Linked DNA regions of Styela clava. The protein of the gene in region 4 purifies or fractionates together with the protein of the main gene of each other region. This does not show direct contact. Links are inferred from orthologs where the notes say so. Each region holds a gene or a part of one and is shown on either strand. Other genes may lie near its edges. The genes, in order: vesicle-associated membrane protein 4-like, vesicle transport through interaction with t-SNAREs homolog 1A-like, vesicle-fusing ATPase-like and syntaxin-6-like.

What was found.
Region 1: the proteins of syntaxin-6-like (region 4) and vesicle-associated membrane protein 4-like purify together in Homo sapiens (co-immunoprecipitation; 5 studies listed by BioGRID and IntAct, counting the BioPlex papers as one, with this or other methods). This does not show direct contact. The link is inferred for Styela clava from reciprocal best matches to the Homo sapiens genes STX6 and VAMP4.
Region 2: the proteins of syntaxin-6-like (region 4) and vesicle transport through interaction with t-SNAREs homolog 1A-like purify together in Homo sapiens (affinity purification with mass spectrometry; 3 studies listed by BioGRID and IntAct, counting the BioPlex papers as one, with this or other methods). This does not show direct contact. The link is inferred for Styela clava from reciprocal best matches to the Homo sapiens genes STX6 and VTI1A.
Region 3: the proteins of syntaxin-6-like (region 4) and vesicle-fusing ATPase-like purify together in Homo sapiens (affinity purification with mass spectrometry; 3 studies listed by BioGRID and IntAct, with this or other methods). This does not show direct contact. The link is inferred for Styela clava from reciprocal best matches to the Homo sapiens genes STX6 and NSF.

What each region holds. Positions count from the first base shown.
Region 1 is NC_135258.1:11,720,333-11,727,798, forward strand, and holds the start of vesicle-associated membrane protein 4-like, read left to right. Parts: upstream 1-4,452; 5' UTR 4,453-4,464; intron 4,465-4,629; coding exon of another isoform or gene 4,630-4,712; intron 4,713-4,789; coding exon of another isoform or gene 4,790-4,925; intron 4,926-5,005; coding exon of another isoform or gene 5,006-5,163; intron 5,164-6,006; coding exon of another isoform or gene 6,007-6,130; intron 6,131-6,665; coding exon of another isoform or gene 6,666-6,866; intron 6,867-7,466. Other genes in the region: isoleucine--tRNA ligase, cytoplasmic-like, read right to left, coding at 1-44, 539-725, 1,442-1,544, 1,945-2,054, 2,346-2,423, 3,654-3,745, 4,223-4,353, 4,630-4,712 and 4 more. UniProt on the Homo sapiens protein: Involved in the pathway that functions to remove an inhibitor (probably synaptotagmin-4) of calcium-triggered exocytosis during the maturation of secretory granules.
Region 2 is NC_135260.1:9,561,215-9,568,652, forward strand, and holds the start of vesicle transport through interaction with t-SNAREs homolog 1A-like, read right to left. Parts: upstream 3,008-7,438; 5' UTR 2,803-3,007; coding exon 2,709-2,802; intron 2,305-2,708; coding exon 2,246-2,304; intron 1,696-2,245; coding exon 1,585-1,695; intron 688-1,584; coding exon 604-687; intron 1-603. UniProt on the Homo sapiens protein: V-SNARE that mediates vesicle transport pathways through interactions with t-SNAREs on the target membrane. These interactions are proposed to mediate aspects of the specificity of vesicle trafficking and to promote fusion of the lipid bilayers.
Region 3 is NC_135262.1:1,425,563-1,432,839, forward strand, and holds the start of vesicle-fusing ATPase-like, read right to left. Parts: upstream 3,006-7,277; 5' UTR 2,970-3,005; coding exon 2,733-2,969; intron 1,922-2,732; coding exon 1,837-1,921; intron 1,347-1,836; coding exon 1,177-1,346; intron 1-1,176.
Region 4 is NC_135254.1:1,680,384-1,688,350, forward strand, and holds the start of syntaxin-6-like, read right to left. Parts: upstream 3,008-7,967; 5' UTR 2,836-3,007; coding exon 2,801-2,835; intron 1,474-2,800; coding exon 1,304-1,473; intron 1-1,303. UniProt on the Homo sapiens protein: SNARE promoting movement of transport vesicles to target membranes. Targets endosomes to the trans-Golgi network, and may therefore function in retrograde trafficking.

The DNA.
Region 1 (7,466 bases), on a different chromosome or scaffold from region 4:
ACTTGATAATTTAGCTATTTCTGCCGATACTTGTTTGAATTCACCTGTAAAATGTGTATATTAAACAACTTTGCTAGTTGAGTACGTCGAGAGCCCTAAACTGAATTAGAATGATCATTGACAAAAATATGGTAAGCAACTAATGAATAGAGCTACGAATAGATGTATTATTCATTTGGTTATGCTATATTGCCTATATAATACTTTGAAGTGATGCACATTGTTAACTGTCAATGACGCAATAACTCTTTAAGCTGTGCAAAAACAGGAGTGCTACTTGTGAATAACTTTAGTAAAGTATCTATTAAAGATTAAACAAAAGAAGCAATAGATAACGAAGAAGGAATAATAAGTTCCAAAATTCCAGGAGGAGTTTTAAAAAAGGTTGCGAACCACTGGATTAAGATTTTTGTTAGAAACCAGATTGTTTGGTATTCTCAGTTTGTGATTAGAAGAGGATTAATGTAAAAATGCAACATTTAGTAGCAGGCTTTATGAAAATTTGATTTCAAAATTAACAAAAAAAATGGGAAATTACCTTTCAAACGTTTCCCGAGAATCATGTGATCAGGTTGTGCGCGAAGACTAACTTCATATTTGTCTTTATCGGAAGAAGTCGTGATCTTGCGTACATTCAATTCCTCGGAAACATATCGCTCCAAACTAGCAACATCATCCAGATATTCTTTGCTTTTGTGGATGATGACAACCTCAGGCAAAGGGTACTGTAAGAAATTAAATTTCATATAAGCTAACATGAAAATAATTGTACTGGAAAGAGATCTGCAGTTAAATCATGCCTAACAAACAATAAACTATTAGCATAGCTTGACTTGACTTGACTGGATGAAAGCACGGGTCGCACCTTTATATAGGCTTTCTAGTAGTTGCTTGCACAAAAATTTTGGTTATTGATCCTATGACATGCGTTGTTCACTTCGCACAAGCTAGCTGTTAGGACATTATGACGCAGACAGTAAATTAGATAATAATGAGTAAGATAATAGTAGTGGAGAATAATGCATAGATAATAAATTAGAGTAGACTAGAGTATAGGCTTTGCAACACAAAGGGATTGGAATCCCTCGCATGCACCAGATTAAACCAAATCAAAAATTTATCCGCGGGCCACACAATTTTTTCTTGTGGGCCACAATCGGCCAGCAGGCTGCAGGTTGTGTATACCATTGAGGCTGGCATCAGTAACATGCTTACAGAAAAATAACAATACAAAATAAGACTATTTGCACAAACTTGCAGTGACATGTGAAATGAAATGTTTGCCTGCAGTTGACGACGACAAAATTTAAAACCAAGTTTGATTTGTTAACAGAGAATGATTATTTTAAATGGCCGTCTGAAAAAGGACTGAATCTTCATAGTTTTTCCTTCAGAATGACAAAAGAACGAAGAATCGTATGCAGTCGAAATCAGTTAATACCTTGATTGGCATTGTATTTCTATCTCTGATTATTCTTCCTAATTCAATAACAGTTTGCATCCTTGAAACTGCTCTCTCAATTTCCACATTAATCAGTTTCTCACTAAAATTGAGAAAATAAAATATAAATAATTTACAATGAATATATAAAACTATAAACGCTGGTCTTATAACATAGATAAAGCATATCAGTAATTCTAAAGAATATTTGGATTACTGTATTTGCATTATCTATGATTGCCTGCGTTTCGTGGAAATTTATGAATAGTCAGAAACAAAATGAATATAATTTCAGTTATCGCTGGCTATAATTAACAATACAAATCAGTAATTTCTATGTTGTTGTCTATTTGGTTGTATTAAAATGAGATTGTATGAAGAAGGATCATGATGGAAATTCCTAGAGTGAAAATAAGGCAACCATATACAGTGGTCACAATTGATGAATCACAATTTCTCCAATGGTTTATGAAAAGAGTAAATTAAGTTCTTGAATATCTTACTTCGCATCTGGGAACATCAAATAATGGATACTTTCAGCATTTTCTTTAGATTTCAAAACTTTCTTGAGATTTTGATACATATGCTCAGTAAGGAACGGAGTAAATGGACTCTGAAAAAAAAAGGATTACAGACTGCATAATAGATGTATTTTTGTTATCATGTGACATTTTTTGTGCGGCTTATTTACAAGCCTTTTGCTCCAAACAAGGAAGTAAAGTCATTAACAACTAGTACATATTCACTCGCTAAAATCCAAGGCCACCCACCCAAATAGGCCACCCAAGCCCCCCCCCCGAAGCCGTGCCTTGCAATAAAACACATAAAAAAAATCATTTATAGTAAAATGGCAGCTGATCTGCATTTTGATTAAAGATAGAGTTTTGGAATCATAAAAACTTACCATTTCTCTAATCATTGTGTACAGAACACTATAAAGTGTTTGCAATGCTTTTTGACAATCTTCAGGTCCACCGTCACCCTGAAACATTCAAAGAGTCAAGTGAATTGTCAGCTATAACTTGCTCTTTGACCTGATATTATATAAACAAGATTAGAAGAAGCTCTATAATAATATAAAAAGTTAATTAGACAACTTCAAATCAATATAAAAAGGATTGTTTATCATTTAAATAGAGAATAAAAAAGCATAGAAAAAGAATTGTAATAAGGATAGGATTTCATATTTATACCAGGGAGAGAAGAACGACAAAAAGGTTTACCTCTCGTCCGGTTACCAGTCCATGTCAGGTATGGGATTTGTTAGCCAGATATTTTGTTTTTGAAAAAATGGAATTGATGGTGGAAGTAGCCATAAGCCCCATGTAACATTGATTAAGAAATAAACTCAAGAAAAATTTCCATTTTAAAAGCCATTTTATAGTCAACACACTTTAAAATATGTATTTATAATAATATATACGTTAATAATATAAGTTACATTCGCTGATTCAAAGTTGCATCATCCAAAACTGATAAAAGAATTTCCATAAAAGGCGACCTAGTCATAGGTAAACATATTCTATCACAGAAAACTACTTGTTTTTGAAGTTTGGCAATGAAATTCACCTGGAGCTCAAACAAGGTTCTATTTGTAATCCATTCTGGTTATTTCCTACAATGTTTACTTATCTGATAATATTATCAAAGGTTACTTTGAGAATTTGGAGTGTTTTATACAGAGTAAATAGTAATATTAGGATTTTTATTGGCATTGCTATCCAAAAAATTGGATTTTCTTAATATTAAATGTCACCCTTCTTTTGATAAATCGAATAAATCAAAATGAAATTTAATTCCAGACGTAAAAGCATATAAGATTGAAAATCTAGACAAACAAATAGTGATTTATCACTGCACCCATTAGGGTAAACATGCTGTAGTATACCAGAATAAGCGGTGTGAGTAGTAATGGCGTATTAAAATAGATATATGTTGATTAAACCTTCAACAAAATCTCAGATTTTATTAAAAATCGACAACCTATTTTAAAAGTAAAATAATTCTCTGTAATAGTAAAACTACAATATTAGAATGCAAAAAATGCTATTTTATTGAGGCACAATGTTATCTTCCAATAACGTTATAAAACTTATTCAATTACAGTGCATAAAATAGAGATAAACGTGTTTAACTAAAATTTAAACACACATATTCCCAATAAATATCATGGACATCCACAAATTTAACTAAAACAAGCAAATATAAAAACCTTCAATCTTTTCCTGTTTGATCTGACGTACCAGTTTGTCAATAAATCCACAAATTTGACCAATCGAGGAACGACAGTATACAAGTGGTATGCTGCAAAGTAAAATATCCAATTCACCAAATAAGATAGTCTTAATGAAAATCAATTATTGAGAAGCGCAAGTCGCTGTGTTATGAAAATAAAGTAGCACTGCACAATGAGACCCACATGGCTTCATTATCATGCAATGTCATTTGCACAGCATACATCATGGTTGTCAATTGCAATATATTTTAAAATCTCGTTCGTTTATGTTGATACAGTAGCAATGCTCAAGATAAAATCCTAAAATATTATGCAAATGATTTTCTCTAAGGATTCAACTTCAAAATGTTTTGACAAATATGCAATAGAAGTCCATGTTTATTTGATCATGAAGAGATATGTTCGATAAAAAAAATTGAAACATTTTGATAAAGAAAATTTTGGAATTTTGGCCAAACTATTGGCAATTCAGATTTAGCTTGCACACACAATTTACATGGATACGATGATAGGCTAAAGTTTCAACTGCGATTGAGATATCACACCTTTCATTTCCTTTTTCACATACAGTACAAGTGATTGTATTGATGACAGAATCCATTTGTCCATTATGTTGTCTGAACTTCCAAGATCATCTTCTTTGTATTTGAATTCAATGCCTTCTTCCTTTTGAAGCCTTAAAACAAGTGCAACTTCATTTTATTGAAATAAGCAATGGATGAAATTTGCATTATAATTTTGAACAAATAGGAGTGAATATGACATTGGAGTATTTGGTTGTATTAAGGTATAAAAATAGGATCGCTTTAAAATGACTACGGCTGCTTCTCATTAATATAAGACATGATGGAAATGCTAACACATTCCCAATTAAACCAGAAGAGTGATTAAAATTTAATAAACTGAAATTTTTGTTTCTACAAATTGAAATTTGAATTGGTCCAAAACTTACCTTATTACGTTCTGCACAAAAAATCTGTATGCATTGTACCAAGGTAGAAAAACATCTTTCAAAATATCTCGTACACCATTTTCCTAAAAATAAAAAGAAACATTTATATTGCAAAAAATATTCCCTATTTATAACAAATAAAAAACAAGCAATACAGTACCTGAAATCTCAAATTCTCGGCACGAACCACAGGTGAATTGATCAAATATAATCGGAGAGCATCTGCACCATATGCATGTACAACTTTGATTGGATCAGGATAGTTTTTCTTCCTTTTGCTCATTTTCTGACCATCGCTGAGATTAAGTATTAACAACATTGAATTATGAACAACATGAATAAATCAAAAATGGTATTAACAATATCGATGCCATACCTGGCAAGAACGAGTCCATTGACAATTAGATTTTGAAATGGAGGTTTCCCAAACAAAGCAGTGGATAATACCAGCAAGGTATAAAACCATCCTCTTGTTTGATCAATTCCTTCAGCAATGAAATGAGCTGGAAAACTGTCTTCAAATTCTTTCTTGTTCTAAAGACATAAAAATTATGAATAATTACCACAACTGGTTTGCCATAGAATATTTTTTATGCTTGGGAAATTTGGATAACTCTCATTGCTGTGTGACCAGACCACTAACAATGATTCCAATGCAGGTTAATAGTGAAGCAATAATAATAGGCCTAAAAGGAAACAAAAATTAAGGTATAATCCATGCTAAATTCCAAATCAAGAAAGTCTTGGCAGTTGGAATGCATCATAGATTGAGACATAAGAAACCAAAAACTTGAAACAATTGAAATGAAATTTACGCAATTGCTTGACTTGTGAATATGACTGAGCATTTTGAATCAAATATTTGAACAATAATTTTTTTTAAATGGTTCAGATCAAACTTTCGAATGATCGCCATCTTTTTTCTAGTCTTCCGTTCAAGGTCAAGAATCTTTCCATTTTTTTATTGCAACCATATTCTTAAAATGCAATCTTGTCGTATGACATTTTTTCTACTAGTGAGATATTGATAAAATCTGTTTCTTATTGTGGGTGACAACTCAGCAATTTGTCTAAGTAATAGATTCTATGTTTTCAGTAATTTATGTGTATGAAGGACATATGGCGATAAAAAAGTTAATACATACAGTTACCCTTTTCCAAGTATTCGAGATTCGATTAGATTGAGTAAAATTTTTTGATTCAATTCAGAAATCATCAGGTATTCGAAAATACCCACCTCATATGTTGTATTTATTAAATGCATGCATATATTATTAAGCTTTTCCTTGCCCAGTCCAGTGAATCAAGTTCCAGGACAGAATCTTAAGGCATTGAGGAAACAGAACTTTAAGGCATTGAGGAAAAATAATAGCATACCTCAAATGGATAATGCATTTGAGCATAAGGCATAGATCCACTTTCAAACCAGCAATCAAATACTTCGGATATACGACGTAAAACTCCTTTTCCAAGGCGTGATGGTATAGTGATGCCATCAACACTAAAGAGAAATAGCAAAGCATGAAGTTGGAAAATTGACAGACAATAAGAAACAGAAGATTGACAGTAGTTAAAAACAGAAACAAAAGGATTATCCGCTAAAAAAAATAAAGGCTCTCTAAAAAGCAAAAAATTTGTGAATTTTCATGTATATACATAATGTTGAACTTGTCAAATAATTATAAACGAATGATGAAGATCAGATAATGATTAACAAAAGAAGCAAGATTTCAAAAGCTTGAACTAAATTATAAGTAAATTATGACACAGATAAATGTTAATATGCTAAATGCAGGGGGCATAGCCATTTCAGAACCGAAGTTTCAAATTCAAAATCGGAGATTCGCCTGCAATGGCTTCTGAAACCACCTATTAAAAGAGGTGATTCTTCTGAGAATACTGATTTTTCTGTTGCATAAAATATGCAATCCCTGTCCAATAGAAGCATTAAGAATGCCTTGCCATATTAATTAATTATGTTCAACTCACGACTCGTTGACATACGACAAAATAAAAACATCATTACTCTAAAATACCTTTCTCTATGAAGATCAGTGACTTTGACCCCAGATAATTGTTCCAATTCCTCTATGGACCCGATGCAAACGATTTCTTCGAAATCCTCGCTGACCCACAATGGTATTGGAGTACCCCAATATCTATTACGAGAAACGGCCCAGTCATGAGCATCCCGAAGCCAGTTTGCAAAACGTTTTTCTTTGACAAAATTAGGAACCCTGAAATGGAGAGAAAATTATAATGTGAAATTAAATAGCTGAAAGTGACATATTATTTTTCTTATGTATCGCATTTCTGAGTAGTGAGAGTGGTCGGCCTAAGCTATGTTGGTGTCACAGGTCAAAAATTTCTGGTTCAATCTCAGAAGCTGACTTCGCTACCCGTGTTGTAATTGGATTAGCAATGGAATCGACTGGAAAGATTTCAATTCATCAAAAATGGTAGATAATTATGTTGTACGATGCCTATGTTGCAGGTTAGCAATGGACTGAAAGGCTCCAATCCATCAAAATCAGTATCTAATTACGTAGTCACTGGCCTTCGAAGAGAAGGTATGAAAACACCTCATAAAATGACCATGGTTCGCATAATTTTTTCTTCCACCATTCGGTCAATGCATCCACAACAATTAGCTACTTCCACCTAGTCTTGTAACTAGAAAAACTGATAACTTGTCATAAGAGTATGTCGTCTGGCACCTTTTTTCTTCGAGCTAACCAAGATAACCAATAAATATTTCAATAATACTCACAAAATAAAAAAAACTTCACTTTGCATCACATTTCATTGGCAATTCATGATAATATTTTCATATTTAT
Region 2 (7,438 bases), on a different chromosome or scaffold from region 4:
TAGTTTGAGGGATGTTTCAGAGTTCAAAAATAAAAAATTATACGTTTTTCTCACTTTCTCAAAACAGCTTTTTTAGGTGTCACCCTTTTGTGAGTTTGAAAGCCTTTAACATTGTCCAGAGTATTCACCCAGGATTATCCAACCAAAACTCAATATAAATATTTTTTAAAAACACCAGCCATTCATAATTTTGGTTCCCATTAGATACCAGATGTTGTGCTAATTTCCTACACTTAAAATAAACCAATAGCAACCAATTGGATTTAACGATCAATCTATATTACACAATGATTTGGATATTCTATATCCATGGTGATTGCATTGATAAAATAGTGTAATGTTCCAGTCATTACATGTTTATTACTATCAGGATATTCATTGAAATTTGTAAAAAATAAAGATATTTTAAAACTAAGATGCCCAACATTTAAATAAAAATGTCCCTGATCTTATTTATCATGTAAATAGCGTTAATATTCATATTTTTTTTTACAACGTTAATTCTAATTCTAAATAGGGATTTAGGAGATATGTCCAAATCCAAACTGATTATTTGTGAGTCATACAAATATTTGAAAAGAAAATGCAAATAAATTTAATCACCTGGTCATTCGTTGAACCATCATCATATTCTAACAACTCTTCCCTCATTTTTGCGGCATCTTTTGCTGAAGTTTTGTGCTTTTTCTGTAACAATATGTATATGATAAAATAAAGGTTGGAATATATTGGCTGCTGTAATCTGGGATTGCTTCTATAGAGCAGACCGTCTAAACATCAATTATCACACCTTTGCATCAAACATAATCTCAAGATAATAACACAAATATACTTTATTATATTTGTTTGAACTTAATTTCTTGGATTCTTTATTTCAGAAGAATTCATGTACATAATTTATCCATCGATATTGGATGAAATATTCTGTAACAAATTATCAGAATGAAACAGAAAAACTATACAGTACGCTCTTTTTAAACAAAACCGTCAAAATACAAACAGCATGCTAAAGAACACCTTGAAAAATTGGGGATTCGTTGGTAATTTTATTTTATATTGTTTTATTTGTCATTGATACTTTATTACTCAATATATTGAGTTGTGTGATGTTATTTCATCAAAAATCAAAAAAAGTATCATTTGAGAATTATTTAATGAAAGTACAACCAAAAATACAACAAGAGAATAAAATATTTATCGACTATGTCCACTTATGCTATCCATACACTATAATTACTAACCTATCTTCGAAACTGACAAAAAAGAAAATAATATGTATATCAGTGCATGACTGCCATGCTGGGCTCCAACAAACATCAATAATTCAGAAAATCAGTTTTAGGATTTTGACAAATAAAGCATCACACTTTCTCAAAATGCTTATTTTCAGCTAACAAGTCAGGAAGTAGATGGCATTATGAAAAATATTGTTAAATACTTAGGGTTGCCTTTATTGAGCTGCAATATAAATAAAAAATGAATCAGCGTGTGTGTGTGCGTGCGTGTGATGAATCTTGGAAGGGATTAGTACCCACACATTGGTCAGAAAAACTGGTTTAAAATATGCAAACCAATAGCACCCACCAATTGAGATTCCAAATTTGTATATTCTGTTTGATAACTTTTCACACGGCTCATTAGTTTTCCTCTTTCAGCACTGGGCATATCTCGAACTTCTAAATCCATTTGTTCCAACTGGCAAAAAATAATATTGACTTTGAGACAATTGACAAAAACAAAACACTTTCTTAAAAGTATTCCGAAGAATTCAATATTTCTTACATCGAATTAAAAAATCAAATAGACGTTGGCAGTCCGCGAGGGAATGAACTCATATGGTGATTATTAAAACCACAAAAGCAAAAATGACAATTGGGACAGATGATTTTGATACGATCCAGCATTACTTTTAAATGAGAATTGATAAAATTTGTCCGAGCAGAATGAGCCTTGATCGAAATGGGGTTAAAGATCACATTTGAAACTTAATTTTAAGCCCTGTATCTTTCCTGCTATTTCTCACATAGATTTGTTGAAAATTAATATGATATCAATCTTTTAAAAGAAATCAATTACATAAGTCATACTTCATTCCTACAGTCTGACAGTAGACCAAAGCTAATCAAGATGCAATCAAAATTCACTTAAATATATCAACATTATTTTTGTAGAAGAGAAACTGTACTTGTTACACTATGCCTCCACGTGCCTAAGTCTGCATCGTAGAAAATGCAAATATTCTTACCAATTCCTGGGCTTCATCAAGTTGTCTTTCTATTGAGCTTATCACAGTCTTTTTGTCAACTGAAATGAATAATGAGGGCAAAAATATAATTCAGGAAATGAATTATTCTACTTTATTCAGTCCTAAACTTTAACGATATTAGACTACAGTTGCATAGAAAATAATAGGCATCGCAAAAACGACTAACTTCGGATATCTTGCAACTTTGAAACACAAATGAAATTTTCAATCGTTTATATCATGGCTAAATTGTGTCGTATTGTGCTTCTGGCAGATTCTATGGTATCTCTGAATCTGTTATCTTATTCAATCGCACAGTCTTATTTACTTTTTGACTAAAAAGATCACATTTTAGCAAAAAAATGACACATCGTTTTCGTTCGACCAGAATCGTGACTTCTACCAAAGCTAAAAACCCAATACAGCATTATTTGATAGCGCTGGTAAATATTATATCACATACCCCCATATAATGAAGATACAGAGCCCAATCTTCTTGTTATTTCAGCAGTTAATGATGAAAACTGTTGCTCATACGATTCAAAAATCGCAGCCATGTTGGATGTCCGCTTGCTTCACAACAGCACAATGCAGCTGACGGAAACAGCAATGTACAGATGTAAGAAATGTATCACGGTATCTGTACCGGTTGTTACCTTGTTTCAGTATTCTGGTATTTGACTTTCAAGTTGCAATAAAATGAATATGGTAACATAAGCCTAATTTCAAACGCCTAAATACCAAACATGTTGTAACATTATTCATAATAAAAGTACAAGAGAGCTATGCTCAAATATATGGACACGTAGAGTCACATAATTTCGATGACGTCATAGCGAAAAAAGAAGTAATAGACTTCTGGAGAAAATTTTTATCTTTAACCACTAAAAATTTCAAAGCAATTGGTCCAGTATTCGAAGAGAAAAGCGACTTTTTAAAAACGTGTCAAGCGGTACTGAGTTAGCAGTCAGGCAGCATCTTACCTGTACACTGTAGGCCATATACGGTAATTGATCACAGAACAGTTGTTCCCTTGCAAATTTTATGTTGTTTACACTTTAGGACAGATAATTGATCACAGAACAATTCTTCCCTTTCAAATTTTATGTTGTTTCCAGTAGACTCTCATCAAAATAAACAAATATAGTAGGCTACAAGTGCTACAACGCTTGCATCACTGCACTGGTAGGACCGTGAAAGAATAAGTTACGGTACGGTAATTTCATTGTGGTAAGACACCGGTACCGGCACCAGTACCAGTACCGAACCTGTAGGTCTGATATTCCGTTCCGCATACGATAGGCTATAAAACTTGCATTGCAGCATTAGTAATACCGCGGAAGGCGGCGGTGTGGCTCAACGGGCTAAGCGTTAGGAATACGCTCGCCACCGCACCTCTAATCACTCTGCGTGGGTTCGCAGGTTCGAATCCCATGCAGGGATGGTTATGTGCGAGAGGATTGCTGGACTCCTCGCCGTCGTTGGGTGGTTCACGTAACCGCTGGTCGGTTACGGCTTCCTCCACCACCAAGTCCATGCTTCCGAAAAACAAACAATACAGTAAAAACTAATCCCATACCCGACTTGGAATCCAGTCTGGATTTCATGGCCTTTTTGAACGAGAAATCGGGCGTGCAATCAGAAATTCCCGCGTGCAAATAAGAATTCCTGGCGTGCAATTATAGCTCACGACGTGCAAAACAACTGCACTCGCGTGCAACTGACTTTGACATCAGATACCTCTCAATACATCCGCGTAAAACTACCGGTATCGGATAAAAAATACGTTGAATCAGAGAAAAAATGGACGTTTGACCTTTGACCCCAAACATTATTCCTACAGTTTGTCGCTAATTTTGAGAGTGTTTGTGCGACTTTGGATACCGGTACTGTTCAGTACATCCGCGTAAAATTATTAGATAAAAAATACGTTGAACCAGAGCAAAATGGATATACTTTGTCATTAATTTTGGTAGTGTTTTTACGTAGAATTAATGGATAAAAAATACGTCAAATTAGAGCAAAATGGACGTTTGACCTTTGACCCCAAACATTATTTTCATACTTTGTCACTAATTTTGGGAGTGTTTGAGCAACTTTAGATACCGGTACTGTTCAGTACATTCGTGTAAAATTATTGTATGAAAAATACGCTGAATCAGAGCCGTACTTGGCCATTGGTGCGGAAGTGATCTTTTCGTCCATAACTATTCGCACGGGATTCCTATTTCCTATCATTCAACACGATATGGACCTTTCCCCGTGCATCGACTTCCTTGTTTACTTCGTGACATTGGCCAATCAGCAAGATGCAAAAAAGGACGTAACAATGAGAGGAATTTTTCGCGGGTCAAAGGTTGGGAAAAGGTCCATGGTCTTTTTGCTTCGCAATATTTCGATCAGACCAAATCTTGCAGGCTGGTATTTGTCGACAATTGTGGAGTTATAATATTTTGGCATCTTTATATTACTGGATTATTGATTTTAAAACCATTTAAACCGATTTACATTGGTGAGCAATTGCAAATTTTCGGCGTGCAAAATTGATTTCGCTCGCGTGCATTTTTGCGGAGCGCTAGCGCCCTCGGGCGTGCACCTGCCATGGAATCCAGTCTGGCTTGGAATGGTAACCGGACGAGAGGCCGTGGTTCGCCATATGGATAAGCCGTCTTATCGGCTTTCCTCTCCCCCGGGATAAATATGTAAATCCTATCCTATCCTATCCTAAGGAATAAGTCAATTTCACTGCGTTACGGCACCGGTATGGCAACTTACCAGTACCGACCTACAGTAGCTGTAGTACTGAGCAAGACAATCGATCGCGAAACCGCTTGAAATAAGTGTAAAACAGTGTTCCCATGAGTAAAAATAAATACCGCGAAATTTTGTATGAAATATCATATCTCATAGGATTCATATAAAATTTAAGAATAAACAAAAGTAATAGCCTTCTAGCGAAAAAATTAATCTTCAACCACTGAAAATTTCAAAGCAATTGGTCCAGTATTCGAAGAGAAAAGCGACTTTTTAAAAACGTGTCAAAGAACAAGAACAAGAACAACAACAAGAACAAGAACAAGAACAACAACAACATAATATTGAAACGATCGTTATGTCCACTACGTGTCCAATAATACAAGTTTATTTCGCCTCCATTATCAGCATAACAATAAAATGATTAAAAATGATTAATAAAAACAAATTACACAGACCCGTTCAGATATGGTATCAGATAAAGAAAAGATATACGACATACGAGCTCAACACTGTTAACCCGTAATTACTTTACTCTATAGTACCACCATGTGACGACGTGAGATTAATTAAACCAGAAGCGAATCATTATATGGGAGGCCCAACGACTAACGGGGAGGCCAGATAAATTTTATTTTCGTCGTGCATTAAATATTAAATGTATAAATATTCTCATTAGAGAGAGCGGGGGAGTTTATTTTGTTTTGTTCATCAAAGTACAAATACACAACAAAAAAATATAAGTCAATTGATAGCAAAAACTTCTCGGTACTCAGACTGGTAAATAAAATGTCAGACCAATGATCAGACTAACTACACACTTGGTCAAGTGTGGTATGAACCGAATTTGATAGCTGCTGGCTCGCAGAACATCGTGGAATTTGAAGTTTTTGAAGAGTCTTGAATCCTTTCTAATCTGTTACTTCGAGTTCGATCCAAAACAATTGGTCGCTTTCTCCTTTGTTGTCTTGGAGGTTAGTTTCATCGCGATTAAAAAATTTGCTGGTGGTATTCGGTTAACTATGTCTTTCATTTCTGAATAATATGATTGAATATCTTAACGTACAACTTGTACTATATTAAATGCGTGTTCTACAGAAGTTATCGATCCACCAGGTTTGTTGTCCGGAAATGAAGAACTTATTTCTCTTCTATCCAAATAATTTTTTACAATATTCCTCGTGTTTTTAGAACCGATCGGAAAAACCCAACGAGCAATAATTTGAATACATGAAGCAAATCGGGCCCATTCTTTTTTGGTAAATTCCCTCGGATGACCAATCTTCTTAGGGTTAAGATTTTTCATCTAGTATGAAGTTGATTTATTGACCCAATGGAGTCATTTTGCGTACGACATCCATTTTCGAGTCTTCTGAATTACTGCTACTTTGTTCAGGAGTTGTTGAAAATCGTGATACGGTACATTTTTGGCGACATTATTAAAGTTGAAAACAATGCTAGAATAGAAATTGACATGAGCATGAATACGTCACATTTTAGTTGATATATGCCAGCTTAAATTTTTTGTCCGAAGTTAAAAACTTCGACGGTATTACGCTGTACTGTTTTATTTTTCCATAGTGGTATTTTGACAATGCTTTTTTTGCGTTGATTATCTATTACATCCCGGACAACAATACTTGTTTCCCATAAACTGGAAACAACTTCCACCGCATACAACCTGTGAAGATGGCCGTTTGCGGCCAGCCTCCACTAGGTGGCAGATAGCGGTTAACAAATCCTCAAAAAATTACACTTGGTTACATTATTAAATAAGGGATAGAATAATTTCGTAACTATTATGGTGATGCTGCAAAACTTCGAAACAACTTCCACCGCAAACAACCTCTGAAGACAACCGCTTGTTGTAAACCCCCACTAGGTGGCAGAGAGTGATTAACAAATCGTCGGGAATTATATTAATAAACAAAGGAAGCTTGACGTCTTGTTGTTATGCATTGTCTCTGGTTTAATAGACTTGATTATTTTTGTACCACTGTTTCAACACTCCTGTACGATACCGCACCTTACTTGGTTACAGTACGGTATGGATGGGAAGAAAGTGAAGGTATTTCTCAATCTCTGTGTTTGCGATAATGAAGAAGATGCCGACCTCAAAATCAGGGTTGAAAATGCACGGCAAGAATTTCTCCGTTGTTTACCAAGTATAATAAATCTAACTTTGGTAACTGAAAGTGTTGAAGAAATTGTACAAAGATGTATCCAACTATATTCATGTCTTTCACAGAAATTGGTAGCACAAAGAAAATATAAAGATGGTGCAAACTGTCTAGCCATAGAATTTGAAGCAACTTTACAAATATGCTCTGTAACTCTAACTTTGATGGATTATAATGTTTCACCCAGAGCTAGTCTTACATTATTGATAAAGCATTTTAAAGGTTCAGCATTGGATTGTCTAAAGTTTTTAAAAAAGCT
Region 3 (7,277 bases), on a different chromosome or scaffold from region 4:
CCGCAACTTTGCTTGGAGATGAGTCACCTTTGATTCTGAGTGAGTGAACATAACTTTGCTTAGAGATAAGTCTCGTTCACTTTTAACCCTCTATAGCAGCGGTTCGCAACCGGGGGCCCTCGGCCCCCTATGGGGCCACGGAGGAGTTGGAGGGGGGCCACAAGGATGGGCTGAAATCTGAATTTACTTTTCACTTTAAAAGAAATCTCTTAGTTTTTCCTAGTTTGCTGCTCAACAAGGTTATTTCGCAGGGTGTTTTCGTTCTCTTTTGTGCAAATTGTTTTAACATAATGGGATTTGGAATCTATCAATGAAAATAACCCTATTAATACCTCTGGAATATTAAAGTGGGGGCCATGAGTGCTAAAAGCCTCCGAAAGGGGGCCACGAATCATAAAAGGTTGAGAACCACTGCTCTATAGATTTGTAGGTTTCAGTTATCATAGAGATAAAGATCATATGCAATATTATTTAGGCTCTCCATTTTCTACTGTTGTCAGAAATTAATTACAGGTCTTTTGGTTTTACCAAGATACTTTTATTGCTCAAAATGAAATATTTCCAAATAAAGTTTTCAAACTTATTCTAAAAATTAGGAACTAAATATATCTGTTATAAATTTCAAATAATCGTATTGTATTCGAACAATTTTTCAAATGTGATATACCTGATTATTAGTAAATAATTTTGAAAATATTTTAGTTGGTAAAAAAGATGTAACACTATAATTGAAAAAATATTCGTATATTCGATTCATTCTGGATAACCAAAGTATTCAAATTTTCTGCATGCGTGATATAATTATGTATCAGCAAATATATTTTATAAAATTTCAGAGGGGCAGAGATGGAGTAACATTATATTTGAAAAAAATCATGTACGTTTAGTATATTTGATTCTTTTCGGACCCCCAAAGTATTCAAATTTATTTAGCATGCATGATATACCTGGATATAAAGGAATATTTTTTAAAAAATTTTAGGGGGTAGAAAAGATGTAACACTATATTTGTAAAAAAAATCATGTACATTTAGTATATTCGATTCCTTTCGGACCCCTAGAGTATTCAAATTTTTTTCGAATGTGTGATATCACTAGGTATCTGCAAATAAATTTTATAAAATTTTTCAGGGGTAACACTATAATTAAAAAAAAAATCATGTCAGTTCGACTCACCTGAAAAATTCCACCATGGTGATCATTGGCAGCAGTTTTAATATCTTTAACCGAAATTGCGTAATGTATGCCGGCAAAACTGAACAGCAACGTTTCACCAAGAACAAACCACCGAAGCGCGAAGTCATGCTTGAGTTGTTCTACCATGTGATCTGTGTTGACTGGATCATCTGAAAGAAATTGATGTTGGAATAAGACTGCCTGTCCACTGACAGAGTAGGCTAGGCTATAATTTTCACAAAACTAATGTCTTCCCAACATACCGTATATAAGCAGACCTCCTAAAAATGACCCCAAAACGGTGAATTTATAAAAATTTGCATATAAGCGGATCCTACAAATCGTACGCTTTTATTGTGAGGACTTTCATAGTTCGAGTTGTTGAAATTAAGTTAGCATGATGTCATTTTGTTTGAGTGCGATCAGAGTTTGACAGCTTAGTTTTGAAATTGGATTATATACGGTGAATATTTGACGGGCAAAACCCCAATTTCGGATATCAAATAAGTTGTGAAGCGCTGGGTAACGCAGAATACACCATAAAATTATCATCGACCAATGAGAGGCGATTGCTGACTTTCGCTGTGCACCCAAACTGAAGAGCAACACAATCCAAAACCATGCAGTACTCAAATAGATTCTCCAGACTGTTAAACTTACTTGTGACTTCTCTTGATTTATAAAAATCCACTTCAAGGATGGTTTCAACTATTTCATCCTGCTTTGTGGGGAAGAATTTTTCAACCTGTCATAAGAAATGAAATTTAGCATTTCTTAGGTGGTGTTTTTTACACTGAACAAGGCTATGTAATAGCATCTACTGATACATCAAATTTGGATACTATTCTCAGAGAGATGGACACCACTCTGGTTCGTCATTGGCTGCCCAATTCATTACATCTAGGGTGGCGAGGTCGTGGGGAAGCCCCTCAAGTAAAAAACGAGAATATCGGTCAGAGACCGAAGACTTATCGATCGAAAGTTAGGGGATCCTCAAAACAGCGCTCTTATTCCATAGTGACACCTTGTGCTTCATTCGAGTGAAAACTACTATCTTTTTTTAAAGATCATAAGAACCTAAATGTTGTTTGGAAGAGGCCATGATCATGAAAGTTTGATAGCAAGTAGCACCTCCCACTTGTTTATAATAAAGGCATGAACAAATTTTACAATAAATCAAATTGGTTATTAATATTGGGTCTAGTGTAGTACTTCCAGTGCGCTTGTCAATATTTGTTATTCCTATTTGGGGTTATTCCTTACTCCCACCTGACTACGCCATCTATGAATTGCGCGACTACGGCCTCACAATCATGTAACATAGCTTGCCAATATGAGCCGCCGATAAGAAATTCACAACGCCAGTGATCTCTCTCATATTGGGATCGCTAAGACGAGAAAAATAGCTTGCTGACTTAGGGTAATGGTCTGTGCGTTTGGGACGACTATGCATGTATTTTTGCGGGCCTTATTATGTCACTGTTACATCATAGTGACATGATTTTTGGATGACGTAGACGAAATTTAACCATCACGAAAAATATAATCATAAATACCTGAACTTCTTGGTTAATCCCAACGTAGGCCCATTTTCTTTGAATCATTGAAAATCCAATATATTTATCCTGTACTTGACGATCAGGGAGGCAAGTGAAATCGTACACCTGACCTCGATTACAAAACCTGATGTATTTATATCCATTTTGAAAATCCTGCGGACTCACGATGACTTTGTTTTTTAACGAAAGATCATTACTAGGACATTTTGTGACTCTGAAAGCTTCTGTGGACATTTTTACTATAATTTATTATGTAATATTTTTTTGATGAGCCTTGAATGAAAGAAAATAATAATTCAATACTTAATAAGAACAAAGTCTGTTCATACCAGACATCAGCACTTCGTAAACTGTTAGTTTGTGTGCGCGGAACTATTCGGGGAAAAAAAATCACGATGTACTTACACCAAAAAAAATTGCTGCCTCAAAATAGAACTCAATTTTGTGATCATTGATGTGTACTTTATTTATGCTTTTTCAAGTTTGTAAACATGTAGGCCTAAAGAGTAAAGGCAATTCTGCATTTCTGCCTGATTTTCCTTTGAAATACTGAAAATAACATGCATGTTCGTTAAACTTGGTAACGCAAATAAATAAACTGTAGCAGGTAGTGTCTACCAAAATTTCCAAATTCCAAGAATGTCCCATCATTTGGTCTAATAAAACAAACACTCCCATGTCTCTCCCAAACAAGGGGTGTCTGGCACGACATCAGATGCATCATATTGCGCGATGCTTGTCTCAATAATAATCTAAATCGTGGCTGTCACATGACCAAAATTGTCGTTTTTAGCTAAAATCTCTCAAATGCCATGGTAGAAATTTTTTTCCTCCAATAAATTAGATTATTTTTTCCAGAGGAATTCAATGATGACGTTTTTAGATAGCGCTTCTTTGTAGTTTTTTATACAACTTCATTTTACTGTATTTTTACCGATATTGAGGAACAACAATGGCCAGACGTCCCCGAAAGGAGGGGTGTTTGTTCATTGGCAAAATGGAATTCTCTAAAATGAGACAATGCCTCTCGATCTGTATAGTGTGCCGTACTGTACCGTACTCACTGTTATAATTGATGTCTTTCAATGTGGAGCCTATGTTTGGAATCTACTGGCTATGTTTGGAATCTGTTCTGACTATCTACTAACACAGGTATAAAAAAGAGAGAATTCTAAAAAGAAGAAAAACTACTAACAGCCTACAATTTAAATCTCAAAAGCCCACTCATAAAATACCGGTACAGTTCTAGGTATTCTTTGCAATCTTAACTAATAAAAACTAACAACCACGTCAATAATTCTCGGGATAAAATATGAGATTCCCATTCATCAATAATAAAAACTACAACGCCATATGCTGTTACTGTCTTACGATCAATATCACGCAAAGCGAGTTTTATTGAGTTGTCCTTTCACTACAACTTGATTATGCGTTTTGTTATCTTTCTGTCATTTGAATCCTGTTTTTATCTTCGGTTTTATCATTCACTTTTTTGCGGCGAATTATTCTAACGCCAAACGGAACTTTCGTATTGAGATTTTAAAATCTAATTGTCGCAATACATACAGTACGGTAGTTTTTTGATTCCACGTTTTGTTGTTTAAATTTAAATGCCATTCCCACGATTATTTATTTTACCTCATACGTTTCGAATGTAGATAATGTACCCGCTGCGAGGTACAGTGAAATATGTTCCCGAATGTACCGGTAAACGCACGCACAATGCCGGAAAACTGGCAACATATTTATCGAGCCAGCACATCAAAAACACAGCGACGAAAATGACGTTTTTGCTCAGGCGTGACCACGGGTCACGGGAGCGTAACTTGAATTCATATAACTGTCCGTCCTTACTAGGGATGGGCGAGTCCGGCATTAGAGAGATTCGACGAATCCGAGTAATCAATCAATCAATCAATTCAGTAATAGGTCAAGGACTCGAATCGAATCCTCCGAGTCCGTGACGTCACAATGTAAAAGTAGAAAAACACTATTTTGACAATACTACAGCATCGCGCGCTCACAAACATACGACGTGGCTCATATTTTTTGTCTAATGGTTCCTCAGGTAGCTGTTGAATCAATTTAAAAATATATTTTTCGTTTTTTTTTTTTGCTGCCATATTACAAGCGTAAACATGGGTCAATGTGCGCCTTAGCTGTGAACTGGATTTCCAGCCCACCACCTTGCGTCAATTCTGGGTGGCTATTCAGAAATTCTTACATGTCGATATGAAAAAATAATAAGCTTTTGATAACAATGCTTTCCCATAGTTCCGGATATTTCTAGCTGTAAATTTACTATGCCACGTGCGCAAATGGTAGAGAAATGCCACTCAACGTCAATGCAATGTTGTACATCTGCTTGTAATTTAGTAGTTCATGTAAACGTTCTAAAACTCTCCATGCTTTCCATTGCTCCCTTTTTAGAGAAAGGATTGTACGTAATGAACTCGATTTAAAAGAGGTAATGATGAGATTCCCCATTGGGTTCATCCAAAGCATGTTTCATTCTTACGCGAATCGAAAACTCAAAAATATTGCGCTAACTAACACATATTTTTTTGTGTACCACGTGTATGCCAAAAAGGATAGATAGTTTGAAGACGACTCGCGCATCATTGTTATAAGCTATCAATATTTTTTAACTTGCGTTATATTATCTGGATATCTGTCATCGTCTTTATTAGGAGTGTTTATAATACACATGAGGGATATTGTTACAGATCTAACCTTGAATTTTAACTAGTTAAGGTATGTAGTGAGATTTATAGAGGCAAAAGTACAAATATAGTAAATTAGTAAAAACAATTGATTATAGACTCGGTAAAAATGACGTCTACTCGAAATCGAATCAGAGTCCAAAAAATACCTGGATTTGACTCAAATCCGAATCCCGGCTCATCCCTAGTCCTCACTGGTGGGTTAGTAACAATAATTCAATCGACCCTTGAAATTCTTTCCAAAGCTCATAATTGTAAGTTTATTTTGATTTCATCGCAAAAACGTACAAAATACAATGACACGAAAGCTTGAGAATAATACGTGTAGAAACACACGTGCCAGTTTACCCCTATCATACACACACAACACAAACATATACAAAAGACGAATGATAAAAGCAGTGTATCCTTCGGGCGTCGTAGCTTCATGTGGAAGCCTTCAGGACAATCAAGTTCATACATGTATCTGAAACGAGAGGCTATCAGGATCGACCATATGAAAATCCTATTCTAAACCACCATTTATAATATCTGAAGGAACGATGCAAGCCTGTCTATTTCATAATTTTTAATATTTTCCGAAGGAATTCCTCCATAGTTAAAATATATTCCCCTTTGGAGAGGAAAACTTATAGGCTATTTTGTAGTTTCGTTAATATTGACTAGTCAGTAGTTTATTTTATCACAAACGTACACATTGAGCAAACCTAATTGAGAAAAATAAAAAAAATACATTTCAGTGTGAAAGGAGACGCGATAAACCAGTGATGGTTAACGAGCGGCGTCACCCAACAGATAATTATTAGAAATGTACAACATGTCTATGAGTGCAGGTTATGCATATCACCAGTCGGGCTGGGCCTTTCGAATTCAATAGCAAATTATTCGATTTAAAGAATATTTTAACCCGTCTCCCATCTTGTTCTTTTTATTCACCCCTAAATTTTTTTATTGAACCCATATTTTCAAAATGGAATTCTGACATATGACTCTCTCTCTCTCTCCAAAAAGTGTTTCTTATTTTATGTGAACTCAGCAAACTGTCTGAGTGATGGATTCTACGTTTTCAGTAATTTATGTGACTGGAGGACCCATAGACATCACAGTGAAAAAGTCATGTGCAACTACATATCTTTCAAGCCTCAATTCTGAAATCATCAAGTATTCGAAAACGCCCGGCCCTAATCGACAGATAATGACAGCTAACGGAAACATGAATATTGTGTGTATTGAGGGGGGAATAGAGATTTTTGAAATCAGTACCGGGAGAAATTTACAAAAAAAAAACGTTTGAAACCACTGCCTTGTTTTGTTTGCTTTTCTGACTTCCATAATCATGATTCTATCAATCATGCATCACATAAATCATCGACATAAACTCCAGTCCTTACAAAAAAGCAGTGCCTCTTACTCTCTTCAATGTATGTATGCTTTCATTTATTTGATTTTGGTTGACAAAACAATCAACCTGTCAGTATTCAACAGACCAGAAGGCACATTTGCAAAACAATTTTAGGTTGAAGTTTTGTCTACACACTGGGCTACAAGACGAAAAGTTTTTTAAAGGGTATCTGGTTCATAAGCCCACAAAAAATGGTTATTATTAAAACGACGGACCGGTGATGATTTTTAGTGTCGGCAATTAAGTATAAAGCACTTTCTGACCCATTAATACATAACGTAGGTGGTTCACATCGGTTAGGGCTTCCTCCACCATAAAGTCCATTCTTCCGAAAAACAAATAACTGGCTAACTTATCCCACACCCGACCTGGACTGGTAACCGGACGAGAGGCCGTGGTTTGCCATATGATTGAACC
Region 4 (7,967 bases):
CAAAATTGAGCAAAATAATAAGGATATACATGGAATAATTATAGTTATTCTTTGTAAAAATAAATCTCTGTTTGACGATTTCCTGTTTTTCTAGCGACCACTACCCATAATATCATATTATATAGTACAATCCTAACTATAATACAAATAAACAACAGATACTTTATGCCACGCCCTCAACACGTCCACCAATAAATGAGTTTATAAATAGCAATCCAAAGTACCCTTGAATACGACATACGTGTTTACTTAGACAGGCTAAACTGTAAAGTATATCCGGCTTAAAAAGCCAATGATAACAGTTATTTAAATCTTCAATAAACATTGCAGGAGGTTCACAACACCCAAGGTTTCCATTCAGATCTATTCTATATTATATAATGTCTATGAAGTCTTAAAATCCTGATAAACGAGCAGGGTTTTCCAAAACGAATCGAATATTCGTATGTATTCGAATACCTTGCCGACTGATTTTCGAATAATAGCGACTTTTCACCGTCAGCGAAGTGTTTCGTTTTAAAGAGAAATCTTCAAACGATTTTCGGCGCTTTGTCGCGTAATGCAATGACGGTGAAATAGTATCAGCACTTCGATTGTTTGTTATCTTCTGTGCGAGCGCCGCCTCGTATTGTTACGACACATTTACACGGTCGCGAGATTGGCACTATCGCCATTCTCTTGCAAGGCTTCTAATTTACGCATTCATTTGTATTGAGTCACGGGCCTCGCATGAATACAACGCTTGTTTACAAATTACAAAATCCAATAAATTGTCTAAGTCCGAAAAAAAAAAGTTGATTTAATAGAGAAAAACATTTAAACTTTTTCTCGCTTTTGGCAAATAATTTTGATGATGATAGTCAATATTCGAATATTCAAATTCATGAACAATACCAGCATTTAAAATGCCTTGCCGTATTATTTTAATTTCATATTCGAAAATAATAATTTCGACGTTATTCGAAATAGTGAATAATTCGGTAATGGCCATCCTTGCACACGACCACTACTTCATTAAAATACACAACACGTAACATCTAAAATGTTTTCTACACTGGTCCGACACTGCGATTCGTTAAGCGCTCTCCGAAAATTAATAGAATTGTATTAAAATAACTGAATATGATTGGATATTATACATATTGTATTGCTTTATTGAATAAAAGTTTGAGAATAGCTGGCCTTCAGGCTTCATTAGAGCCTGGATGAAAAGTGTTATTTTCAAAAATACAGTAATTTTTTTTTCAAATTTTCTACCCCCCCTGAAAAAAATCCTAAAATAAATAAACAAATAAAAGGATATCTATTGTTTCGTCCAAGTCTTCCAAGTCCCACTCGATTGATCGAACATTGTTCCGCAGATCGTTCGTCATTCTTTCGTATTGGTCACGCTTGAGTAAACTTCCATCCGTCAATAAAGATCTCCATCTTTCTTGCATTACGCGACAGTTCTCAACGGACTTTTCCACTTCACTGAAAAATGAGTAAAATTAGAATACACTTTACATATTTATCAAGAAAGGAAAGCAGAAAACGACGGCTTAATACTATCAAGAACCACGGCCTCTCACGGTTACCAGTCCATGTCGGGTATGGGATTAGTTAGTCGGTAATTTGTTTTCGGACTTGATGATAGAGGAAGCCGTAACCAACAAGCAGTTCTTTGAACCACCCTGTGGTGTGGCCAGCGATATTTCTAGCAGGCAGTGTAATCAGAAGTGCTATGGCGAGCGTTTCCCTAATGCTTAGCACGATGTACTGCACCATCGAGCCTACGAATATCAGAACACTTCGTATAGCTGCCCAAATGTTAGCCGCAGTAAACCACATAAGATCGTAACAAATTTCAAGGCTTCAAGAAATCAGATCTGCAGACAAAACTAAGACAGATACAGCTTTGAAAGCCAGACCAAAAGGTGGCCCTTGGTTCAGAATGACATAAAGTCAAAAATTTCATTGCTGAAAAATTTTGAATAAGATACTTGGGATTTACCGAGGCGATGTATGGATTGGTTCTTATCCAGAGAGATAATAGCGATAAATATACCAAGATTTTACGAAATCGAAGCACAAGACAGCCTTCACGCTTAGCAAATTAAAAACCGTATTCCCATGAATATAATAATACTACAGCAAGATTTAGGGTGATTTAGATTTAGAAATTTCATAAGATTTATTTATAGAATATATTGAAATAAATAAAAGCAATAGCCTTCTAGCGAAAAATACAATCTCTCGCCACTGAAAATTTGAAGGCAATCAGACCATTAGTTCATAAGGCGTTTCATACCGCAACAGCATGAACAATAATAACAACGAATGGTCCATGGATACATTTCGTAATCAATCAACCAAATGAGAAATTATCAAAACAGGCGTCAAGCTTGAGAGCATTGTGACAAAATACTGTTAGTAAAAATGAAATACTTTTCAACTGGTTTCACCTCACGCTGTTACAATAAGAGATCTACCGCTGCATTATTGCGGCGTATCACGGTTCAGGTCATGGTAGCATCAATCTATCTATTCATTAAAGCAGGGGTTCTCAAACTTTTGGTGTTATGGAACCCGCAAATAGTTTGACTATTATTTATGGAGCCCCATAATGAATTTATAAAAATGAAAAAAACACACCACACCGATTAATGTTCCTGAGTAAATTAAATTTACTTTATTTTCCTGCTTTGTATTAAAAAAATATTCAGTATTTTAATAGGTAAATGAATAGCCCGTGAAATAGGTTTCTCTCGTAGCCCTGTGGCTCTGTATGGGCACTAAATCTAAGCATTAATACACTCACCTTTTAACAACAAAAAATGGGTCCTCCACAGACATTTTGCCTGTTTACTAATGGTTTCTTATGTCTGTATACTTCTCTATTTTCTTTCACCTCTGAGGAAATCTTTTTATTGCCTTTCTTTTATTTCCATTGGCAGTTAGGTGATAAAATCCAGCAATAAAATTATGGTTGTTAAAAATTAGACGTTGCTTTAGTAAGACTTAATTAAAACCTGTGAAGTGTAGTAAAAATTTAAAGAAAGGTTTCTAAATTTCAGGTCAAAAAAGCAAACGAGGGTGTAATAAATTGGATGCCAAATGAGAAAAAGATACCAAGCATAAGATATCATTTTTTCAGTCTTCTATTGCTTACCCATTGGCAAATTAAAAAAGTTAAATTTACCCCTCTTTCACTGTTCAAACTGGGGGCCCCGATGAGTCGCAATAGGACTCAACAGTGCTTTTGTTCTGAGTGACTAAATATATTTTATTACGAAATATATGGTTTTATTTTTTAGGTTTCAGTCATTTCAATTTTTGGCCGGTACATTATTGATAGGTTTTCTGTGAAATATTTTTAGGTGTGCATTTTTTTTTATCTAGAAGCATAGCTCTAGTATTGCATTATATTACGCAATTTATGTTATTATTTTCTGTTCCATTCATATCATTTTTTTGTCGGTCCGCGAGTACAGGGTAGAAAGGTTGAGAACCATCGCCCCAAACGAGGGTTTCCCAAAATTTTTTAATTGGGGCCTCCTGCCCTAAACTACAGAACTAGAAATAACACCGTGTATATTAGTATCCAAGATTGCGAAGTTGAAGGGCCGAAAAAACTTTTGAGGAGGTCTCGCGGGCCGCAGTCGAAGAAAACCCAAAAGTGATCCCAACATCGCGAGTTTACTCACTTCAAATATATATGATAAGAAAGAAAGTTTATTGTTCCACCAAGTTTTTCAATGAAACTATATAAAGCCCTCAGTTATTTTAAAATTGCTTCCCGAATGTTATTTTCTGTATCTTTTCTCATGTTTGGTTCTGTAATGTCGCCCAAAATGATATTCTTTGTGGCGGATATTACTTGAAAACACACCAGACACTGTGGTTTAGCATTGTTGTGGGTAAGAAAATATGTTTCCCATCAGTTTACCTGTGTCACCTTTCTGTTACACATGGTATGATAAATTGTTGGGACTCGGACTCAGATAAAAAAACTGGATCGTGTGGCGCTAAGTCAGCTCTGTGGTTCGTCACTGCTGTCACATGACCAACAATTAGAAACAGAGGCCGAGAAAAGATTTTATATTATCCAAATGAGGAGTTACCGGTACCGTACCGTAAAAGCGCCTAACTTCGGACAAAATTGCTATATTTTCTTCATTAACTCGGCCATTTATTGTCCAAACGGTGCCAAAATTGCTCGGAAAAACATTCGTGCGGTAATTTACATTCCCTGCAAATTTCGGTTCAATTGGACTATTTTTACTATTGAAATAATCGATATTTCTTGCCATCTGACCGTTATCCTTCACTGCCCTAACTTCGGACAGTCATTTTCTTCACTGCGTAACCGCGACGCACAGAGAGAAAGAGGCTTCCGATGCGGATGACGTAATCACGTCGTTGCGTGAAGATAAGACGCTCGATCGTCGTCGTAACGTAATATTGACGTCACGACGAAAATGCATTATTTGAAACTTCCGTCGTCCTATGTTTACATCTTTCGTTCGTTATTTTTGATACTTCAGATGAGTATAATAACACGTTAGTCATTTTAATCAGGAAATGCATGCGTAAATATATCTGATGCAAACCGTTTCAATCCACAATGAAGTATTCTAACGGGCTTCTATCGGAGTCTTTGAAGTATTAATATTCTCGACGGATAGCTTTTTGTTATTCTGCGCGGTTATCTTTATAAATGATAATTTTATATCAAACACACGGTAAATCCGATTGTGAAGTTTAATTTAAAATTCAACTTAATCTTGTAAACATGTAGGTCCCGTTTATTTGTTGGAGATTAAATTTATTTTTAATTTCGAGTGAATAAAATTCACCCAGGCCGTATTCAATGACTGTCATTTCGACTACTCATCATAAAATAATGGTTAAGTCAGTGCACTGTGCCATATGGACGTTGGAATTATCATAGTTTTATATATTCGATTTTTAACGTCATCGATTAAGTGTGACATGTATTTTCATTAATGTAATTTTGGCATATATTCATACATGACCGAACAAAATACAAAAATATTACATTGGAACGCCGTCTTTATCTTAACGGAAATTGTCATATTGGCTCCGTTGTGTCTGGCGTCAAAATTGATTTCCGCGACGCAGTGTGACGTCGTGTCGGAAGTGAGCGAAAAGTAATCTACGTGAGGTTGACGTAATTTTTGACGCTGCGTGAAATCTTAATATTCTTACGGAATTTATAATTCAGAATTTTAGGTTTTATTTAAATCTCGTACGACATCTTGCGATCACTCAAATAAATTATATACATTGTTGTCGCCCTCTACCGAATGATGGTATTTTGACGATGATAGCTTCAGTAGGAGCGACGCTCTGCGCCCTTGAATGCCGGGCAGTCAATTTTCGGCAAAATTTCCGTTTTTTACCAAAAAAATATTTATGCAACATTAAAAAAGTTGAGAATAGATGTAGATATAACAGCGCAACCTATAATAATTAAAATTAGCAATATACGTCGCGTTTTAGCCAAGATATGGCCGTTCAAAATTTTTGTCCGAAGTTAGGCGCTTTTACGGTACTTGACGCGAGCTTAAAGCACGAAGTTTAGACAAAAAGCACGACTCATCTCATCGGCTTGGTCCTGTCTGCACAAGACAATTCATTCTCATATAGGCAACGTCTTGACATTTATAGATACAACATTGAAATTCCGTGATTAAAAATAATCAAAAAATGTTCTGCCAATAAATACAAATATCTGCCAATGCAGCAATGGTTCAGTGCACGATAGAATTGTTCTGCAGGCCGCAGTTTGGGCCAACAGACCACCCTGACATACAAACATAATATGACTGCAAGACTGTATGACATAAGAACACATACCGGTAAGTTAGATGCTGGAGTAAGAATGACAAATAGATCTTAAGACACCTCGGCAGATATTAAGTATTTGGTTATAAACTATCTCTCCCTTTAAAACGTAGCTCGGCGGTGTGGCACATCGCTGCATCGTGCGATGCATTAGGAATACGCTCGCTACCGCATCTCTGATCCCCCTTCGTGGGATGGCAGGTTCGAATAGGATAGGATAGGATTTACATATTTATCCCGGGGGAGAGGAAAGCCGATAAGACGGCTTATCCATATGGCGAACCACGGCCTCTCGTCCGGTTACCATTCCAAGTCGGGTATGGGATTAGTTTTACTGTATTGTTTGTTTTCGGAAGCATGGACTTGGTGGTGGAGGAAGCCGTATCCGACCAGCGGTTACCGGTACGTGAACCACCCAACGACGGCGAGGAGTCCAGCAATCCTCTCGCACATAACCATCCCTGCATGGGATTCGAACCTGCGAACCCACGCAGAGTAATTAGAGGTGCGGTGGCGAGCGTATTCCTAACGCTTAGCCCGTTGAGCCACACCGCCGCGCCATCCCATGCGGAAATGATCATGTGCGATAGGATTGGACTCCTCGCTGCCGTAGGGTGGTTCACATAACCGCTGGTCGGTTACGGTACCGGTACCATACCGTACGGCTTCCTCCACCATCAAGTCCATGCTGACTACTCCCATACCGGTACACGACCTAGACTGGTAAACAGACGAGAGGCCGTGGTCCGCCATATGATTAAGCCGCCTCATCTTAGACTTTCCTCTCCCCCGGAATAAATATGTAAATTCTATCCTAAACCATAAGTCAGTACCGGTACCGGTGCAAGTGTTTCTACTGATTACCGTTACGGCGGTACCTAGAACTCTTATACCGGTACCGATACGGTAATACTGTTCCGTACCGGTACGGTTTACGTTGCATTTTTATTCGCCTAAAAGAAAACAGAACACACTGACTCAATATGATAGTAAACTACGGTACCGGTAGTCCTGGCCACAATCATTTATTTTTATTTTTGCCAATTAAATTCCAATGCCAAACGAAATTTTCGTATTATTATTTTGGAATCGAATCATTTTAGTCTATTTTAATTTAAATCCATAATTTTTTGTTTCCATGTTTTTTGTTTTTGTTTTCTCAATTTAAATCCCATTCCCCCAATATATATCAAGAGTAGCGTACAAATCCAAATAAATACAAAATTCATACCAGTACCATGATTTCATTAATTTACGGTAATATAATCACAAACCAAACCTGACCACAAACATGAAATAAATATGTTTCGGGAAACAACTACAGGATAACCAAGAAAAAAACCCGAACATATGATTATAATAAAACAAACAAGAAATTGTTCGCCGTAGAAGAAGTCTTGAGTAGCTTTCTTCGCTCTGCCGTGATCACTCAAGTGTGACCATTCTATAATGAATATAAATAGATAGTGAGAGAGAAAATTCATTATTTCGTCAACCAGAAAACACATAATTTAAAATATAATAATAACGAAATAAGTGGAACAAAAGTTTTCGGCAAGACTGGGAGGTAACGATACGACCATTTACGGTCATCTGAGTCAGTAACCACCCAATACAACACATGAATAAATACATAAATTGACACAGGTTCTTGGATTAAAGAAAAAGATACTTAATTCTGATCGAGCCTTCGAATAAGAATCATTTTAACACTATAAAAAAATAATATACAATAGTACAAGAATATACATATGCGGATTAAAGCAAATATGATTTAATAAAGAACTTTTGACAAAGATGAGACAATTACAATACTGTAATCCAGAATAAATATTTATCACACTAACAGTTAATTAAATGATACATAACAACCGCTTACCGGTAATTGAGAATGTAATCATATTATATTATGGAGCATCATATAAGTTTATTTCGACTCCACAATTAGCATAACAGACAACAAAATGATTGATAAAAGCAAATAAATTAAAAATTCCAAGTGATTCAAGAGTCTTGCTGCAGACTAACACAAATATATTTCTGGAACGTTTCGTCAGACCCTAATCAGCATAACATAGAGATATATTCATTACTTTGTCAACCAAAAAAACAAACAG